4 separate regions of the Mus musculus genome follow, and all the other regions are reported to be linked to region 1. Evidence: microRNA targets listed by miRTarBase, many of them from high-throughput screens and not tested one by one. Region 1 holds a microRNA gene; each other region holds the end of a gene's coding sequence.
What was found. The annotated mature microRNA mmu-miR-3074-5p reads GUUCCUGCUGAACUGAGCCAGU and lies in region 1 at 1,988-2,009, opposite strand. An mRNA with a match to its seed (bases 2 to 7 or 8) in the 3' UTR can be bound and repressed. Matches are read on the target gene's strand: a 7mer-m8 pairs with bases 2 to 8, a 7mer-A1 pairs with bases 2 to 7 and ends in A, and an 8mer does both.

Region 1 (5,075 bases):
ACTCTTAACCACTGAGTCAGCTCTTTATCTGAAACAAGGTCACTTGTGTCACTATGTAGCCCTGGATGGTCTGAAACTCCCTACACAGACCAAGCTGGCCTTGAACTCTTAGAGATAGTACTGTCCAAGGCCTGGTTCTTGCTTTCCTTTGCCTTTCAAGTGCTGGGACTAACAGTGTGCACCACCATTCTTAAGTTTATTTTTATTGTCTGTTTGTGAATGTTTGCTTACGCGTACGTCTGTGCACCATATGTATGCCTGGTACCCACAGGGGCCAGTGGGGAGCGTTGGAGCTCTTGGGAATGGAGCTATAGATAGCTGTGCTTGTCATGTAGGTTCTGGGAAAGAAACCTGTCATCTCTCCAACATTGAAATTCTTTAAACAATTTTTAAAAATTGTGTGTGTGTGTTCCCAAGTGCAGAGATCAGAGGACAACTTGCAAGGGTCCGTATGCTTTTCTTCTTCGTGGTTCTTGGGTTTGAGCTCAGGGCATTGGGCTCCATAGCAGCTCTGCTCACTTGCTGGATCAGCTTGCTGGCCCCTGAAAACTTTAACTGGCACGCAGGACACTACTCTACATTGGGTAGGCCCCAAATTTTGTGGCTTGCCCTGGTACTGGGTGCTAAATACCTTCTCTGTAAGTTTTCACTGGCCTTCCTAGTAGAAGGTTTGGGGTTTTGTTGTTTTATTTTTGTTTTTCTTCTATTTAAGACTAGGGTCTCAAACTGTAGCCCAGTTAGGCCTAAAACTCATCATGTAGCTTAAGCAGGCTTTTGACTCCATTCTTGGCAACCTTCCTGCCTCAGTTTCCTCAATGCTGAGATAAACGTGAGCCACCAACTGCAACTGTTGTAGTCTGCTTTACAGATGGGGAAACTGAGGCTTGGAAGGCCTAGGGGAAACTTTACTGAGGTGTTATTGTTGGGGTGCATCGGCCTGCTTCTCCTTGCTTGGGCCCTAGGTGGTGTGGGGTGGGGGTGGGGTTATGTCTGAGCTGGCTGGGGAGGAGAGGGCTGAGGTGGGAGGCCCTGGAGTTTCCTCCTGCCCTTCAGGCTTCTAGGAAGTGGCGCCAGCTGGGGTGAGGTCACTTCCTCCCTCCAACCGTCCACCTCCCTCAGCTTCCTCTCCATGGCCCCATTTGGCCTGCTTTGGGCTCAGGGCTGTGGGTGGGGATAGAAGCAGAGTGGGAAGCAGCTGGGAAGGCTCTGCAGCCCCTTTGGCCTTAGGGCTTCAGGCACCTCCCGCTTTGTAGGGCTGGGGTAGAGGCACTGCTGGGTGCCCAGCATCCAGCAGCCTCGCTCCAACCTTCCTACGGATCGATGCTCCTCTTTTTTGGGAATGCTTCTTCCCTCTTGGAAGTAGAGGAGGGCTAGGGTGTGGATCAGCAAGCTGAGTTTAGATTCTGTCCCCAGCACCACTTAAACTGTGTGTGGTGAGGTGTACCTATAATCCTAGACTCCAGAGGTAGAGGCAGGAAGAACTGGTGCATTCGGAAACCTTGTGTTCAGCTATGTGAGACCCAGCCTGGTCAAGATAGGCAGGCAAGCAAGAATGCTCCAATCTCACTGTCTCTTCTTTCTCTCTTTAGGTGCTACACTCCGCTCCCACCTGCTGCCCCCCTCACTGTGCCTCGGACGGCTGGGGTTCCTGGGGATGGGATTTGATGCCAGTCACAAATCACATTGCCAGGGATTTCCAACTGACCCTGTGCTCTGCCTTGGGGGCTCCTGTCGCCAAGGATGTCTGTCTTGGGTACTGGGTAACAGAGAAGCCTATCATGACAACTGGCCTGAGGAGCAGGGCTTAGCTGCTTGTGAGCAAGGTCCACAGCAAAGTCGTGTTCACAGTGGCTAAGTTCCGCCCCCTGGACCCCATCTCCTCAGGCCGCTGCTGCCCACCCTGCTCTGCCTCCTGGCTGGCAGGGCTCTGCCTCTCTCCGGGCTCCGCCTCCCGTGCCTACTGAGCTGAAACAGTTGATTCCAGTGCACTGGCTCAGTTCAGCAGGAACAGGAGTCCAGCCCCCTAGGAGCTGGCAACCCTGCAGAATGTCTGCCGTGAGCAAGACCTGGAAACAATGGGGTAATTAGTCCAACCTAAGCCCCGTTGTCTGCTGGAGGCTCAGCCTCTAAGCCTGCATCTGGGTGTCCACCTTGAGATTTCTGTGGTTCCCCAAAGCAGATAGATGGGCGGGTAACCCTTGCATTAAAAGCCAGTTATGTCCCCTCAGGGCCTGGAAGCCCTTCTTTTCCTAAGTCTGGTGGGGCTCAGGCACCACCCCTTATACATACCATCTTTGAAGTCAGTTACCCAAGAGGAAGCTGCTTTAGGCCCTCTAACGGTTAAATGCCAACTCTCTGCTTCCGGAAGAAGGCACTGACCTGATCCAGTGTGCCTAGCAATCCCATGGGGTCTGCAGCTTTCTGCTGGTGACAGCGAGGCAGGGAGCGAGGTCCACACAGGCCTCAGGATATGAACAGATCCATGCCCCCCCCCCCCATTGGCCTGTTGAAGTAATCTCCAGGCTTGGAAGTTAAAAAGTTGCCTACTACCCACAAATGAGACTGCATGCAGACTAATTGGAACTGGCTGAGTTACACTTCCCAGACCATACAGTGTCCTCTCCCTACTCTGGGCAGGGGCAAATCGAAGCCTGGGTGGAAGAACAGAGTTGAAAGCTTGTATTGAATGTTGTTCTCCAACTAAATAAAAGCTCCACAGCCTCATTCCGTAAGGGCTGACGTCTCTTCATTCCCGCCTCCCACATGTGTGTTGCTGGCTTTTTTCATTTCTCTTGAAACAGCATTTCTGTGTAGACCAGGCTGACCTTGAATCAAACTCCTCCAGTGTCTGGAGTTTGGGAATACCAGCTGCACCACTATATCTACCACACCCTGGGCTCCTAACCTGCATTGCACCTATCCCCAACCTTGCTCCACCTGCTTCTAGGAAGGTGTAAATATAGTTCTGTGGTCAGTAGGTGCTGCGACCTGAAGATCCTGGGATCCTTTGGGGATGGCTTGAACGGGAGGGATAACCCAGACCTGGGGTGTATGAGACCAATCTGTGGTCACCCCAGTTCCATGAGGGAGTATGTTACAAGAATGTACTCTGCCTATGCTGGGATGCACTGACTGGCAAGATGCCAGGGCTTAAGGACGGGCACATATGCGCGCACAGACAGACACGCGCGCATGCACACACACACACACACACACACACACAGGGCTTAAGGACGGGCACATATGCGAGCACAGACAGACACGCGCGCATGCACACACACACGCACGCGCGCGCGCCCGTCTACACACACACACACACACACACACACACACACACACACGCACGCACGCACGCACGCGCGCGCGCCCGTCTGCGCCAGAAGGGCTAAGGGGCGGATCGCCTCTGATCGGCTCCCTGGAGCAAAGGAACGCACCATGAACTATGGCCACACTCATAGTCACAGCCAGCTCCCATAGTGCCCCACAGAGGCAACACACACACACACACAGCTTCCAAGAGAACGGTCCTAAACAATGACCCTGTCAGACACAGCTAAGGACATAAAGAACCGGAGAATGAGAAGAATGCCCAGGCCGTCCGCTGGATGAATCCATCTAAGAACGGGAGTCTCATCCACAGCCCAAAAATGCAATGGGCAGGTCACTGGGGACACAGGCGTCCCCAGCTGCCCTCCGCACCTGGTGAGACCTCCGGAGCTCCGAATGACGTTGTCTGGAGCCAGACGCCCCCTGGTGGTCATTTCCTGCAATGAAGGACAGTGCAATCTGGGTGCATTTTCCAAAAACCTACAGACTCTAGGTTTGGGCGTTTTAAGCCTCCTGACTTGCAGAGATTATGACATGCAGATGGAAAAGCAGTAAAGCCACCAGCAAGAGGTGGCTCTTCGTGTCACCACGATGCCATGAAGAAACCAGCAGCCTCTCCTGTCCCATTCAAGTTGTGCCCAAAAACCGAGATGGAAAATTTTTTGGTTAATTGAGCAGGTGGTAGGTACCCCTGGCCCCGGGTGTTTGTGTTAGCAATGCAACCCAGTCTTGAAGTTAAAAAGAAGTTGTGTTCAATCTTTTTTTTAAAAAAAAAGGAAAAAAAAAGGAAAAGAATACAGTATGGGGTTCAATAAATAAGAAAAAAAGTTACAAAATGATGCCAACTTTTTCCTTAATATACAAGAGAGAAGACAGGTGCGTCTGGGGTGGAGGCTCTCCCTTCTCTTCCTCCCTGGGCCAAGGCCTGGGATACAGGAAGGCCTGTCAGCAGCTGGGACTTGAGAGAGATGCAGACATGGGGAAACTAAGGGAGTGGGGAAACAAATGGAGGTGCAGAGCAAGAGGAAGACAGAACGGGGTCCCTGGCTGTCTGCCTGTGCCTCCCACAACAGGCTGGAGGGCAGCCTGACTCCTGAGTTGTGTATCCAGTTACTAGTGGTGGGGTCTGGCCAGCAGAGAGCTGTCCCCAGCCTACCCTGTGACCTTGGTGCCCAAGAGAAGACAGGCCCTGGCTTGACAAGGGTATTTGGGGGTGAGGTATGTGGCAGAGGCCCAAGACCTCTTAATATCCTTCAGTGGGGTGAGGCATTTGTGCTGGAAAGCTGGGGCTGGGGGCGCAGGGCAGTGGGACAGGAGCCCTGAGCTGTGGAGAGGGGAGAAACACAGTGGGAAGTAACTACCCTGATGTGAAGTGCCTAGGCTCCGGCCAGCTCCGGCTCTGGAGCATCTGCTGCACTGAGTTGGAGGCCTAACTTCACTCTGGCCCAGCCCTTCTCCTGGAAGTCCCAGCTGACCCTGGGAGTCTGGAAGAGCCAGAGCTTGCTTCTTCCGTGTGAGGTGCCCAGGCACATACTCCCTGCAGGGTCTAGTTAGCAGTATGGCTTCGGATCCTCAGATCGCATGTCCCGTTTGTCTGCACACTCCTAGGCACACACCTGGAATGATGTCACCCTCTGCCTCCCACCTCTGTAACTTTACTGCAAGTAGCCATGGGCCTCCTGTTTGAGGAAGGTGGGCCTGGGACACCCATGCTCCCGGCTTTCTGCAGTTCCTCAGCCAAACCGTTC
Region 2 (5,062 bases), not on the chromosome of region 1:
AACAGAATTCTGTCCTCCTGGGCACATCTCTCACTAAAAAAACAAAAGCCCATAGTGGAAAAAGCAAGCGGGGAGATGAGAGTATTGCAAGAGGAAGGAGATTAAATCTACCAGTCTGAAGTAGAAGCAGCTATCAGAAGGAAGCAAAGAAGGCCCTGAGATAGTCCCCCATCAATCACAGATGGTGGGGAGGGATTGGCAAAGGGCTGAGTGCTGCCAGAGGGAAGGCTGTCCAGAGAGCTGGAGAGCCATGGCTGGGGAGACCCTACAGGCAGCTTGCCAAGTGCCTAGGCTGCTCAACAGCAGCTGCATCCGTGAGCCTCTGTTTCATATCTCCTTTCTGTCCCCCTCCTCCCCTCCTGCTTTCCCAGCTGAGTGCAGAGACACCACCAGGTACTGCGAGAAGGTGAGACAGTTGAAACTCTGCCAGCTCGGCCAGTTCCGATCTCGCTGCTGTGGAACGTGTGGCAAAGCATGAAGACAGGGCACGGGGATGAACTCTACCCTGGCCACACAAAGGACTCACACAACCACCTTGGACATGACTTACGCTTTCTTCCTTTTATTTATTTATTTGCCCCTCCCCACACACCCATGTCCACCTGCACCCATGCTCCCGAGGACTGTGGCATGTTTTCTTATTCAGTTAGCTGGAAGCTAGTGTGGAGAACAGGAAAAAAAAAAAAAAAGATGTCTAAAGGAGGGTTGCAGAGCAGACAGCAGCTCCCTTGCAGAGCTGGCTCCTTTCTGATCAGGGTCTCAGAGACACAGGAAGACCAAGCCATAGTCTATAGGGACAGCAAGGAGTTTATAACACATAGGTACAGGCACAGGCCAATCAGGAGTGCCGTTCCTTTGTTTCCTGGTGGTAGGAACAGGGGGGGGGGGGGGGAAGCAGCATACTAGAGCAGAAACCAGGCCAGACTCCAGTTCTTCTGGCAGTGGTGTGGGAAGACCAAGAAAGAAGAGAACTGAGCTGTGGGCAAGAGGGTTATGCCAAAAGAGACAAGCAAAATAGGCAGAAGGCATGCCGCTATGCAGAAGACAGAGGCCGGGAAGAGAGAAGGAAAGCGTGCGCACGCACCTCAGTGGGAGGAGCTTGCTGGCAGGACAGATTTTCAAGCAGTCACGTGAGACCCATATGACAAGCCTGTGCCCGGGAACATGTGCACAGTCCTCGAGCTTCAACAGAGTTGGGGAAGGGTATTCAGAGTCCTCTCAGGGTACCCGCGCTGCGTGACACGGGTGACACTGCATGACATGCCCTTTGTGTGGTTATACAAGTGTGTCTACCCCTCTTCTGTCAAGTGACTTTTGTGTCTGCAGCTGTGGACAACCCAACAAAGGGTCAAGGTCAGCTGTGCAGTAAGGCTGCCCCTAGCATCTCCCTACTTAAGTCAAGGGTCACTAGCCATGAACTGACTGCTGCCGAGGGCCAAGGGCATTTGATCGTGAATGCCCCTGGTTTTCCATCCGAATGACTTTGCTGCTCCTTGTTGGGCCAGGGACTAGAATCATAGCTCACAAAGGATTCATTAAGCAACCTGTTTGCGGGCAAGCATCTACAGGATGTAGAAAGCCTTACTACCAGATCTCACCAGAGAGGAGGAGAGGACGGAGGGGCCCTGCACACCCACAGTGCGCTTTCTCTCCCAACCCTCACACATTGGGCCTGGGAGCCCTTCCTGAACCACAGAAGAGCTGCCAATTTACGCAGCAGGCTGGGAGTAGGGAGTGTGATCAGGCGCTATGGCAAAGCTAGAAGTCAGCTAAAGACTCACAAGACAGCCGGAGAAAGCTTTGTAACCATCCTCTCGACTACACAGATACTATGGTAATTAGCACACCAGACTGAGTGAATGGACCACTCAGCGGGCTAAGCAGCACACACAATTCAGCAACACACATCAGCTATGGCAAAAACAGAAGCCCTTGGCAAATCCTCAGTCTGCAGAGAAGCTTCAACAGTAATAATCGCTTCCTTCCTGAGCAGCCTCAGTTTAGCAGATGAGGCAGGCAGAGCCCAGTAGCCATCAGATAAGCCGCCCCTCGCAAACACACTCACCAAATGCTATCACCCCAGGGCCACCACTGACATCAGGGCTGCATTTCCCAACCAGCCTGGAAGTTAAGTTTGAAAGAGGATGTTAATCTGTGTCTTCTTAGATGCGCTATGGACAGTTAGGGTAGGCCTCTTCCTCATCACAAAAATAGACTCTAAGAAATTGTGTTATTAAAAGTCAGTGTAATGTTTATTTAAAATTAAAGAGAGTGTTTCTATGTATATCTTTTGTGAATATTTATTAGGATTTCTTGTATTAAAAAGTGCAATATTAGTAATTGTACATTGTCATCCAGAAAAACAACTCTTTGGGGGATTTTATTAACTTCCTGCAGCTGTGTTCCTAAAAACTCTGTGGCAATAATTGTATTCTTCCTAATTTTAAATGAAACAAAACAGATGTTTAACTCTGATCCACTGTGTACAGAGTACCTTGTAAAAGCTAATGTGGGATTGGGGGAGAGCAATGGAGTCAATTTGTTTGTGACACTAGTTATACATAAAATGAACACAAATTCTGTAATACTAATACATAGTACAGTAGCTATTAAAAATTGGTGGTCAGTGTTTGAATTTTTCTCAAATGCAGGCGTCTTCCAGCTCTGCCACCTGCCAGAGTGTGAGGTTGGAAGTGCCTTTCAGAACTAGCTGGAGAGCATAGGTTTGGAGTGGAAAGCAGTGTGCTCCTTGCATGACATGAATGTACATTTAATATTTGTTCTGTGAATTGTGACTCAGCAGTACCACAAATTATCGGGGCTGCTGGATAATGCGGAAGAAGACACTTCCTTCTCTAAAACACAAAACTGTATTTATATTTTTTTGTACAGATAATACAGCTTATTTATTTAAATCATAGTGTCGGTGTCTCTGTGAAACTCATCATTCTCTTCACACCTTATGCAAAGGGTGAAAGAAATCCTTGATTACAAATTGAGTGGTTCCCAATCAATTATAAAGATCTTACTGAAATGAAGGAAGTTATGGAATCCATGCTCAGAAAGGCCAGCTCAGTAAAGGAACTTGGAGGAAGGCAGCGGCAGATGTGTGCACATTCTGGTTGAGGTACTATCTAACAAAAGGACCAGTCATCTCATTGACAGCGCTACATAGGAAGCTACAAGAAAGCCACAAGCACCTTTTGGAAGAAAAGCAAGGGACAGTGTCTCAGGATAGATGAAGACTCCATGGTGGCTTCTAGCCAGCAGGTATGCCCAATTGGAGGCAGCCATGTGATGGAATTTTAGTTATGCACTGTAAGTGGAAAATAAACTTCATGGATCACACTTAATCCTCCTGCAACCCTGCAATTATTCTCACATGCATACGACCACCTTGAAAGACAGACAGACAGACACAGAGACAGACACACACACACATTTCTCACTGCTCTGAGATTACTAGTAGATAACCGTTATGCAACATTGTATGCATCATTATGAGAGCTGTTGTCTTCTCCTGTCCTAAAGTGAATTTGCTTTGGTTTACAGGACTGATTCCTACATCTCTATCTTTTACAGATTCTTATAGCAATAGTACTGCTGTGCGGTGTGCAGAAAAGCTGCAAGCACATTTGTAAAGTTCTTCCTAGCCAGATATAGTCAAAGGGCAGTAAGTCCCCAGGCCTGGATGATGTCCTCACAGGATCATTGAGAGAGGGGCTCCAGAACTGCACCCCCAGTCCCCACCCACTACACACACAGCACCCTCAAACCCCAACACATCCATTCCTATTTAGTAGTGTTAACAATCCACCTGAGAGCTCTTCGTACTCCCATTATTTTCTCAGTAGCTTTAGGTTTTGCTCAAATAGATATATTTATAAATAAATCTATAAGTAATCACCAGCAACCAATGTCCTACAGCAATACTGTGGAGAGAAGCCAAAGATATCAAAGGGAAAACCCAAGAAGACTCAAGAAACAGGGAGGCCTCAAACATGATGTACAGAAAAGTCTCCAGCATCAGTCACAGATCCCAATAAGAAAACAGAAGAGTCCTGCCAAGATGCCATAGACTACAGGATAAATGCCTGGAAACTTGACCAGCAACTGTCTTAGGGTTATTATTCATCATTCTAAAGACCTTGCTGGTCCTTATAAGCAATCAGAACAAACTAAAGAAACTCAGAAATAATATAGGATATTAGGATGAGAACCGTCAACTGTCACCAAAGTCATTCACACTTCTGCCTCATCATCTATAAAGGCAGTGCACCACATAGGATGCAGAATGTTAAAAAATGGTAATTCACTCAGGCTCAAGAATTATCAGGTGCTAACATTCACGTGGAAACTGAACAACTCTCTACTCAATGATACCTTGGTCAAGGAAGAAATAAAGAAAGAAATTAAAGACATTTTAGAGTTTAATGAAAACAAAGCCACAACATACCCAAACTTATGGGACACAATGAAAGCAGTCCTAAGAGGAAAACTCATAGCCCTGAGTGTCTCCAAAAAGAAACTAGAGAGAGCATACACTAGCAGTCTGACAGCACACCTAGAAGCTCTAGAACAAAAGTAAGCAAATTCACCCAAGAGGAGTAGACAGCAGGAAATAATCAAACTTAGGGCTGAAATCAACCAAGTGGAAACAAAAAGAACTATTCAAAGAATCAACCAAACCAGGATCTGGTTCTTTGAGAAAATCAACAAGATAGATAAACCCTTAGCCAAACTCACTAGAGGGCACAGGGACAGCATCCTAATTAACAAAATCAGAAATGAAAAAGGAAACATAACAACAGATCCTGAGGAAATCCAAAACATCATCAGATCCTACTACAAAATGCTATACTCAACAAAACTGGAAAACCTGGATATAATGGACAACTCCCTAGACAGATACCAGGTACCAAAGTTAAATCAGGATCAGATTAACGATCTAAACAGTCCCATTTCCCCTAAAGAAATAGAAACAGTCATTAATAGTCTCTCAACCAAAAAAAAAAAAAAAAAAAAAGCCCAGGACCAGATGGGTTTAGTGCAGAGTTCTATC
Region 3 (5,062 bases), not on the chromosome of region 1:
TGCTCACAGCAGTAAAACCCTAAGCCAAGAATAATAAATGAATGGCCATGTGGTCCTCCAGCCTCTCAACATGTAAAGCAAGGGTGCTTCCTAATGATAGTGATGCCCTGCTTCTGCAGTAAAACCACACATCCTCTCAGGAGAGAGTGACCTTCATCTGACCTTAAGCACGGAAGCTCTCTGGAGACCTCACACTGTCTCATGATCATGGAAAAACAAATCAACACTAAGAATGTTCGAGGTTATAGTATTGGCTTTGGGATCCAGTCTGGGTTCCCATGGGATATAACATGCATGATACAGCATGGAAAGTGTGTTCCTATTACAGCATAATTGGGAAGATATCTTCCCAGGGCATTAGGAAGGAACCTGAGGCAGATAACCTAATTCCCTAGGGCTAGGGAGAACTCCCTTACAAATCCATATATGGGTGTGTGTGTGTGTGTGTATATATATATATATATATATATATATATACATACATACATATGTGTGTGTATGTCTGTGTGTGTGTATATATATATATATATATATATATATATATATATATATATATATATATATATATATATATATATGTATATATATATATATGATGTGAGATTTTCCAAAATTCCACAGAAAGATACTGAAGGAGTTTCAGAAGGGAAGACAGCCATATGTCTGAGCAAGCAGTTTTGGAAAATGTCTGGGTATAGGCCTGTCAAGAATCTGCTCCTGACTTTTCTCTTGTGTTGGGGTAAAAGCTCTACTCCATACCCAAGTTGGTTTGATTTCTTTTGTTCTTAAGAGGCACAGCCACAAAGCAAAGCACACTGTCTGCTTTCATCACTTTTCCTGAGAAAGGTCTTTCTTATGCATATGGCCTCACCCTTTGTAGTTCTGAGGATTGAACAACCAGGCTCTGTTCAATGAGGACCAGGCTCCATCCTCCCTCTCTGGTGTTCCACCCTCACTCTCTGTGCACCAAGGACCAGGCACCAGCCTCCTTCTCCTGCAGCTTTTCTTTAGGAAGAAATAATTCTTCAACTCAAACAACTCAAAATCCAGGCAATAAAGCTAAACCAGATGGCGCAAGGCTGGTTTATCTATTTACTTATTTTTTCTTTTCTGAACACATTCACATCTCAGAAGGAGCATGAGTGGAAGGTGCTATGTTGCTTTGGGAATGAATGGGGACATTTAACTGGTAGTCCCTGCATTCTTTCCCTGGGGGAATAGTCAGGAATCCTTATAATGTCTTCTTGCTCTGAAACTGGAAGCTTTCTTTTAACAACCATTCCTTTTAACTAGTTGATGGGATCAACTACAGGATAAGCCATGGGAACACGTGTGGTACTTGTTTGTGATTTGGGTCTTTGAATGCAGGTGGCATCCTCCTGCAGCAATCCAGGTACAAGGAAGTCTGCGTTAAAGCTTGGGGTTTAATCTATTGCTTTCATGTCTTACATGTAAGGTCAACTCCCTTACTGCTGCCACTACTGCTGTATGCCTTTGCTGATCTTAGAATTCCTCTTCTTCAGGCTTAAGTGGCTCTCCAGAGAGGCTCCAGGCTTTCAGCACCAGGGTGGTTCTGCCAGCGTACTCATAGACTGGGAAGCTTCCAAGTTCTCAGACTGTCCAGTGTTAAATAGCCATTGTTGGACTCTTCAGACAGTACGGTGTAAGGCAATCTAATAAATATCCCTTTAATATATACTCATTCTATTAATCTGTTTCTCCAGGAAACACTAATATGTGAAAAATCTTTGGTTTGTACATGTCTTTATCAAAACAATACTGCATGAGTACTGTATGAATACTGCTATGTCATTCTGTTCTGATCAGCTATAGTGGCGAAGAGAGTAGAGAACAATTTTAATCCACATCAGCACCCAGGCAGGTCTACACATCTGTTTTGGAGTGTACAACAGACTAACTCCCAGGAGAGCGTTTGATAAATGAGGACTCTTACGCAAGGTATTAGGTGTTGTGATTAAGTACTACCATGCATCTCTTTATCTGCTTGGTGGACTATAATTTCATCTATCTATCCAACATAACAGAAATGCTCTTTGGGAAGAGCCTGGTATGATAGGTCCATTGCTGCAGTAATGGCATTCATCTTTTGGGAGTCACCAACCACTTTCTGATTGGATTTGAGGACAAGGTGGAGCTTGTGCCTGGTACTGTTTGTTAACTGGGCCAAACACCCATGACAATTATAGGCCCTAGAGGGGGAACTCAAAACTATTCCTCTGATAAATGGACAGCTATTAAACTGCCCCCCAAGTACTTACCTTTACACCCACAATTTATTGCATCTCTCAACCTTCATCAAAGATTCTCTTTGCATTTGGATGAAGATGAATTCAGAGATCCAGTATTGGAAGAGGGCCTCATATTCTACCACTGAGCCACAATTTTAAGCTTTTTAACTTTTAGTTTAGACAGTGCATCATCACCAAGTTGCTCAAGACAGCATTGAATTCACTCTGGACTGGTATATCGTCTTTTTCTGTTGGATATCAGGGTTAAAGACTGCATCTAGAGGACTATGGATAGTTCGAGTCTAGTACCAGAGGCTTAATCATTCCCTACACCCCATCCTTTCTTCTACATCTATATCCCAAACTATGACAGAACTACCCCTGTGCAGGAAGAGAAGAGAGAGATGCCGTAGACAGTTAGCAGATTATCTGGCTGAGCCACCCAAGCAGCAACCTTTGGGGTCCAGGAGGGTTTTATGCATTCTCATTAGTAGTTGAAGGCAAGGGGCTTGGAGTCTGAAGGTGAGCTGCTAGGTTTGTAAACTCTCATAAGTGACCCACTTATAGGACAGTTGCAAATTCTAGTTTCCTGGTGTCATTAGAGATCTACTACTAAGTGACTCGATTTTATGGCTGCCGTGGTGGACTGTAACAGTTTATGTTGTGAGGCTGTGGTTCAATGGGGACAACTGTATACTACTCATTTCTCCAGAAGATGCTAGACATTAATTAGTTGAGCTCTGCTATTAAAAAGTTTCCATAGCAACTGTCAGTGCTTCCCCTTTGTGAATTGCTTTGTCGCTCTTGTCCCTCCATAGCACCTATCTGACAAAGGAAATGGACAAGTGCTCTCTTATTTTGATTCTTAGCATGCTATATCGCGAGCAATCACTTTACCTCCTCCTTGCAGAGGACCAGCAGATGAAGGCATGCATAAATAGAGCACTCTTGGATGACTTTGCAAGATGTGCTTTATTTTAAGTCAGTCCTGAACCCAGAGTACACAGGAGTGGTTTTTGACATAGTCTAGCCCATTCAATGATTCTTCTCAGAAACAGCATTTTTTTTAATATTGAATGAAAAGTACATTTCAATCATAAATTTTCATGCTACAATGCTATCTCAATGAAGAGGTTGTATTCCCAATGATAATAATTTAAGAAAAAAGGCCATCATTATTTTATTTCCCCAAGCTCGATATACATATTTCTTTCATAATTATGAACTTAAAAAACCCGTCTTAGATGTAAAAATGTGAATCGGAATATGTAAACTCTTTGATATGCCTGAAAAACAGCAAGGAAAATGTCACACACTGGAAAAAACCACTGCCTTAAATCATGGAAATGGGAGGAAGCATGAGGGGATGGGGAGAGGTGGGGAGGGGCGATGGGGAGAGGCAGAAGAGCCCTGTGGCCTCAGTCACTGAAGTTACAAAGCCGAGGTGTTCCCATCAGGCTTAGCTGATCACTGCTGTCCTGTTGCTGTGGCAACAGGAGCCATCCGAAGCAGAATGATCACCACTACCTAGAGTGGTTACCACCCGACCTCACAAGCAGAGGTGTCCACGTAGTTGCTTTGCTGAGTGTTTTTTTTTTTTTCCTGAGAAGTCACTGGTGTTCAATAGAAAGATTTCTTACCAGTCTTCAGTTGAGATAAGGCAGTAGGAGTATCACTAATGTTATCTTTTTGCTTAGAATGAGGCTTGTCCTTCCAGCCACATCTTCTGGGTCCAGGGTCCCCTCTTTCCTCTTGAAACTCAGGCAGTGCTGCTGCCTCCTATTGCTGCTGCACATCTGGAGTGTGCTGAGGGTTCGTGGGGTCTCTGCTCAGCAGTTGCCCCAGCGGTGAGAAGAGCTATGTGTTGCACGTTGACCATGACGCCAGGAAAGGTGAGGACCCTGCAGAGTTAGACACAGGTGCCTTTCTCCAAGGGAAGGGACACTACTGGAACCTTTCCCATAACTGATTAAGAATGCAAGATACTCTTGACTAAAAACAAACAAACAAACAAAAACAAAACAAAACAAAAACCCAAAAAACAAAAAACCAAAACTCTAAAAGCAATGAGCCCTGATTTCAGAGACATGGGAGTACGGAGAACTTCAACAGCGCCTTCTTGTGTGAGGTGACTTGCATGAACAAGAAAATCAACTTCTTTCAGCCACCTGTCAGAAGAGAAATGGTTGCCGCCCAACTAGAAATGCTTAGCTCTTAGAGTATTGTGCTTTTCTTAAAAAAAAAAAAATTCAAATGTTAGCTTTATTTGCAGTCCAGGTCTTAAGTGATCAGTTTGTTTTTTCTCTAGTCCACTTGATCATGGTTTCTGGTGACCTGTACAGGAATATCAACTTGGCGTAGAGGTCTTCCTCCAGTTCCAACTCCCCTGTCTCCCTCACGAGGAATATATCTGTGCACAACTTCAAGATTCTGTCCACATTTGGAAGCTCTTCAAACATGATGGAATGAGAGATCCCACTGAAGAACTCACGAACAAATTTCCCAATTACAAGGACAACAGATGCATACAATCCCATGATACTGAAAGAGACAGCAAGGAGAAAATGATGAAGATGGTTAGAAAGACACGTTGTCTATGTTTTGACAAAATCCAACACAAGGTGTAGAAACACAATTGCACATACTCCTTTCAAAGTAGCTCTTTCCCCTCTGATAATCCTGTCCTGAGATCTTTCTTCCTTCCCCTCCCCTCCCCTCCCCTCCCCTCCCATCCCCTCCCCTCCCCTCCCCTCCCCTCCCCTTCTCTCTCTCTCTCTCTCTCTCTCTCTCTCTCTCTCTCTCTCTCTGGGTTT
Region 4 (5,062 bases), not on the chromosome of region 1:
GGTGAGCATGAATTTGGGGGGAGCACTGCCACCCTAGATAGGAGGAGGATTGTCTTGTATCCCATTCTGTCAGTCATCTGCTGTGGTATGCGCAGTTTTGGTCATGCTAAGGTTTGAGAGCTAGCAGGCTTTTGGAAGGCAGACAGATGGCTAACATTTCCTTAGGAACCATGTGGTGAGACCTTGGGGGTTATTCTTGGGATGTGCAGGAACTAACCTTGCTGGCTTCCACATTCTACTGCCTACTGACAGTACATTTAAGAGGAGGTTACACGAAGTCTTCATTTTGCAAATGAAAATGGGAAGGCTTCAAGTGTGATGATCTGGTGGTCACCTAGCTAATAAGCACATAACAAACTGGGGGTCAGACCCAGGTCATGGCTCAGGACTCTTGCCATGTAATTGTTATGTGCCTTTCCCACATATTGGACTTTACTGTCCTCTTTGTGAGTGACACAGAAGGTAGATGGCTCACAGGATGAAGACAATAGAGAAGTGGTGTTCAGCTGGGCTCTTACGATTAACTGTCATGGCTGGCAGCCAGGGGTAGAGTCCCACACCTGTAGAGGCTTCCTGTATCCTAACCATATTTGTCTTCTGTGTTCCCAGTGCCTTCTGCCAGCATGACTCGCCTGATGCGGTCCCGCACAGCCTCTGGCTCCAGTGTCACATCCCTGGAGGGCACCCGTAGCCGCTCCCATACCAGCGAGGGCCCCCGAAGCCGCTCGCACACCAGTGAGGGGTCCCGTAGCCGCTCCCATACCAGTGAGGATGCCCGTCTCAACATCACCCCCAACTCGGGTGCCACCGGAAACAATGCCGGGCCCAAGTCCATGGAGGTGTCCTGCTAAGCAATCTGTGCATCAGTCACCCTGGACTGGTGGCCTCTCCCTTAGCCCCCAACCCTTGCCTGCCACCCTACGCTAATGCGGTATTAATCTAAAGCTGCTTTTGTAAGAATGAACTCTGGCGGTGGCAGACCCAGGCTGTTCTGACTGCCTCCTGGGACCAGGGTGGGTGGTGGTGGACCAAAGGCAAGAAGCAGTTCAGCGTACTGTTCTGCTAACAAGTGGCCTGGTGGACCCTCTCTCTACCCTCAGACACCAAACTGCCAAAACTAAGAAATAGATAGCTGTAACACTGCCTGGCTCCAAGCCCAGGCTGATCCAGCATTCTGGTTCATAGGCGTTTTGCCAACCTGCCTACTTCCTGTTTCCTCCCCACTAAACTCATTCCTGGAAACAAACTTCTGTTTTGAAAGGAGAGAGAGAGGCAGGAAAGTTGGGCGCCTTATTTTAAGTAGAGAAACCAAGAAAGGAAGAGAAAAAAAGGCAGGGTCTAGGGCAGGTAGAGGAAAAACACAACAAGTCTACTAGGCTCACTTGAAGGAATTGATTTTAAAGTTCTGGACACTGAAACCCACAACCTGTTTTTCTGGCAACCTTTTAACGTGCAAGAAAAACTGGTAACAAACCCCAGGCTTTATAGAGAAAGTGATCCAGCAAATGTGGGGCATCAGTGATTTAAGACTCTTGCTATGCAGTCTACTGTACCCCGCTCCCATTCCACAGTGAATGAGTGGATGACACCTCTGTCCCTCGGGAAGATGGTTTTGATTTGTTGTTGCATTCTTTGAGGCAGAGGGAGAACCCAGCAGGTGACAGGGGTCCTTGTCTGGGATGAGTCTTTAGGATGGGAAGGGTGGGGATAGAATGGCCCTGGGATTTTGAGGACTCATGGTAGGGCCAAGTGCTAGAACCTGGTGGGTGTGATTTCATTGATCTGGAATCTTGTGTGACTGAGTCACACCTTGTCTCCCATAATTGATGTCTGGCATTGATTTGAAACTTGATAGCTGAATGTCTCTTAACTGGCCCATCGCTGGTTCTTCAGAGAGAACCGTATGTTCTAGTGGGGGAAGGACTGGTTTTGGGTTCTGTACATTCCACGGGAACTTGCTTCCCTCTCCTGCCCCTCCTGCTGACTGGGTTTGTAGCATTGGCCTCTTAAGCAATGCCAGCCTAATGCCCATGCTCCATACTACTGCCTTTTGATTCTTACTGTGGCTAACCTTGAACCTTTCCTATAGGAAATGTGATCAGATCAGAGACACTTGATCGTTGGGAGTCAGCCCTCAAGGCCTGGCGACTTCCAGGATCTTGGAGTTGCTAGAGGAAAAGTAGTTATGCCCTATAGGCGGCATGAGAGACAAGGGATCAGTTTACCTGCCAACTCCTACCGTGGAGGAGGAGTTCCACTGACCTTGTGTAGAAAGATCAGGAATCCAGGCCAGGGTGATTGAATGCTGACAAGAAATCACTGTATATGTCTCTCCAGGGCAGTTTCTTAATAAGATGTTTGTATTTATTTCCAGACCAATAAATTTGTAACTTTGCAGTGGCTTGTGTCTTTTCCTCTCCCTATGAGGGTGGGTGTGGCATTGTGGAGCAGGAAGGGGTGGAACTTTATCCTTGACACCAGAGCCCCTGCTGCGTGCCCCTTACTTTTGGAGTTCTTTGCCACAGAATGACACTGACCAGTAGAAATGGCACTGTCTGTCATATAGGTTTCTAAACTTTCTGGTAGTGATATTGAAGGAAGAAGAATCAGGCGAAAATAAGTTAGGCATCCCTGTAGCCTAATATATCAACTAACATCATTTCTATGCAAGCAGTCAGGCACATCTTTTTCTGCAGTAAGGAATTCAGTGTGCAGGCAGCCTTGCCACACACCAGGCACCTAGTAGCAGGTCACCATAGTGATGAGAGAACACTTTTCAAGCTGGAAGAAGAGGGAAGCATATAGGTTAAAAGTGACTCCTGTTCTCACGTTCCATGGGAGATGTTTGCTTTGTATGTTTGGTATATATGTGTGTTGTATGCATTGTTGCACTTGCGTGTACGTTTCATGGCCTGAGGTTGGCATTGGGTGTCTCTCTCTCTCTGTATTGCTCTCCATTTTACTGTTTTTGAGACAGACACAGCTGCATGTTTGCATACCTGGTGCTACCCAGGGTTAGTTTGTCTGAAGGTACCTCTCCATCTGAAGAATCTATTTCCCACCCGGATGATTGTTTATGGGAGGCCACACAGTAATGGTTGGGAGCCTGTAGAGGGTGAGTGTTGTCTGCTAAGTAACTGCTTCCAAGAAAGTGAGGAGGACAGGGAGAGGAGCTCCTGGGCACCCCAGCATATATGATGACTCTGGCTGGGGACCAAGGTCATCTCACCTCTGAGAGCCCATGCTGTGATGTGGCCCTTGACAACATGCAACAAAGACACTTGACTTGGAAGATGGCTCAGTTGGTAAAATACTTCCCTTGCAAGTGTGATAACCTGAATTCAATTCCCCATAGCTCACATTAAAAAAAAAAAAGCTAGGGTAGCAGGCTCTGTGTTTAACAACATTGGCTGTTGTTCTAGAGCACCCAGTTCAACTTGAAGCACCCACATAGTGGTTTATAAGTGTCTGTAACTCCATTTCCTGGGATCAGTACCCTCTCTACATAGGCACAGAACACACATGTGGTACAGACTTAAATGCAGGCAAAACATCTACACACATAAAATACTTCTGGTGGTACATGCTTGTCATCCCAGTGCTGGAAAGGTAGAGATAGAAAGATCACTGAGGGTACTCTGGCCAGTTAGGTTAGCCCACTTGATGAATTCCAGGCCAAAGAGAGGCTGTGTCTCCAGCATAAGTAAGACAGAGCAAAAGGACAGATTATCCTCTAGCCCAAGAGCACAAAAATGTATTCGCACAAGAAGGGGCACTTGACTTCTGTGGCCGTCCTCCAGCTAAGGAAAACCTTATACAGATCTCACGTGAGTCTTGGCAATGGTGTTTTATAACAGCAATAAAAAAGTAACTAAGATGGGCTCCAAAGAATCAGTGAAGTTGAGTTGATGAATTAACAGTGACATCATTTATTGACGGACAAGTCCATTGGTACAGATACCATTGTCATTTATCCTTGCTCTGAGAAGTGATCCCTGAATGGTCAGCATTCCTAGGAAGCAAGGAGATTTGCAGATATGAAAAGTGCTGATGCATGCTGTATACTACCTTATTTTCCTCACTCATAAACTAGTGATTATTTTTTTAAGAATGTATATTATATTTATTGAGTGTGTATTTGTGTGTGTGCAGGTGTGTGTGTGCTTGGAGGCCTGATGTCAATGTCAGACATCTCCCTTCATTGCTCACTATCTTATCCTTTGAGGCAGAGTCTTTTACTGAATCCTGGACTCATAGATTTGGCTAGACTGGCTGGCCAGTGAGCTCCAGGGGAGTCTTCACTCTCCAGAAAGAGTAGTTTTCAAACTTCAAAGAGACTGAATAGCTTTAACGAGCCATTTTCAGTGGATTATTATCTCCCTGCCTATAAATGGCTCACACCCTCCCCTATCAATGTCTGGGGATGCGGGAATATCAGTGAGCTCCAGGGATCAGAACTGTGGGCCTGAAAGGTTTTCACTGGCTCAACGTACCTTTGTTCTTCCATTAAATGGTCCTGCTTGGACTTGCAAGATACAATAGCTTTGATGTGGTTTTGGGTTACCCTCCCTTCCCTCTGCTGGCACTTCTTATATTATCAGTGAGCGTGCTTCTAGCAGCTCTTGCTCCTTTTACTGAAATGGATGAAGAAACCCACATTTTTTTCTTGTATTATATAAAAGGCAGAATAATGAGGCTTAGAGTGTAGAGCCTGAGATATGCTGTGTAGAGTGTACCAAATGGTGAAAAGACTGTGCCAGCATCTCCTTAGAATCCACATGTGATAGAAAGAGACAAGATTCCAGCAGGGCATGGATTTCTAAGTACAAGTGTCACTAAGGTATGAATAAGTAGGTGGACAATAAGAGAGATAGATAGATAAATAGACAAATAGATAGATACATAGATACAGATACATAGATACATAGATGATAGATAATAGAAGATGACAGATAGGTAGATAGATGGATAGATAGATAGACAGACAGACAGACATATAAATAAATGGAAAGAAGATAATTGATAGGTAGGTGATACCTGGAGATATAGGAAAGATTTATGA

Region 2: the mRNA of Adamtsl1 is a reported target of mmu-miR-3074-5p. Seed matches in the 3' UTR shown: 7mer-A1 at 671-677.
Region 3: the mRNA of Piezo2 is a reported target of mmu-miR-3074-5p. Seed matches in the 3' UTR shown: 7mer-A1 at 3,848-3,854.
Region 4: miRTarBase lists Ndrg1 as a target of mmu-miR-3074-5p. Seed matches in the 3' UTR shown: 8mer at 1,273-1,280.

What each region holds. Positions count from the first base shown.
Region 1 is chr8:84,206,886-84,211,960 of GRCm38, forward strand. It overlaps Mir3074-2 (microRNA 3074-2), which reads right to left and starts at 2,022; the gene lies at 1,940-2,022. It overlaps Zswim4 (zinc finger SWIM-type containing 4), which reads right to left. Exons shown (of 14, transcript NM_172503.3): 14 at 4,057-5,075. The coding sequence ends at 5,061. Mir23a (microRNA 23a) reads left to right here and starts at 1,633; the gene lies at 1,633-1,707. Mir27a (microRNA 27a) reads left to right here and starts at 1,787; the gene lies at 1,787-1,873. It also overlaps Mir24-2.
Region 2 is chr4:86,425,471-86,430,532 of GRCm38, forward strand. Adamtsl1 (ADAMTS-like 1) reads left to right here. Exons shown (of 29, transcript NM_001368621.1): 29 at 372-2,912. The coding sequence ends at 478. The region is part of intron 2 of Gm33730 (a long non-coding RNA gene); the gene reads right to left. Among named protein-coding and RNA genes, the nearest start is that of Gm33730, 13 kb to the right of the region's middle.
Region 3 is chr18:63,007,011-63,012,072 of GRCm38, forward strand. Piezo2 (piezo-type mechanosensitive ion channel component 2) reads right to left here. Exons shown (of 54, transcript NM_001039485.4): 54 at 3,203-4,790. The coding sequence ends at 4,538. Among named protein-coding and RNA genes, the nearest start is that of Napg, 32 kb to the left of the region's middle.
Region 4 is chr15:66,926,656-66,931,717 of GRCm38, reverse strand. It overlaps Ndrg1 (N-myc downstream regulated gene 1), which reads left to right. Exons shown (of 16, transcript NM_008681.2): 16 at 610-2,400. The coding sequence ends at 851. Among named protein-coding and RNA genes, the nearest start is that of Ccn4, 38 kb to the right of the region's middle.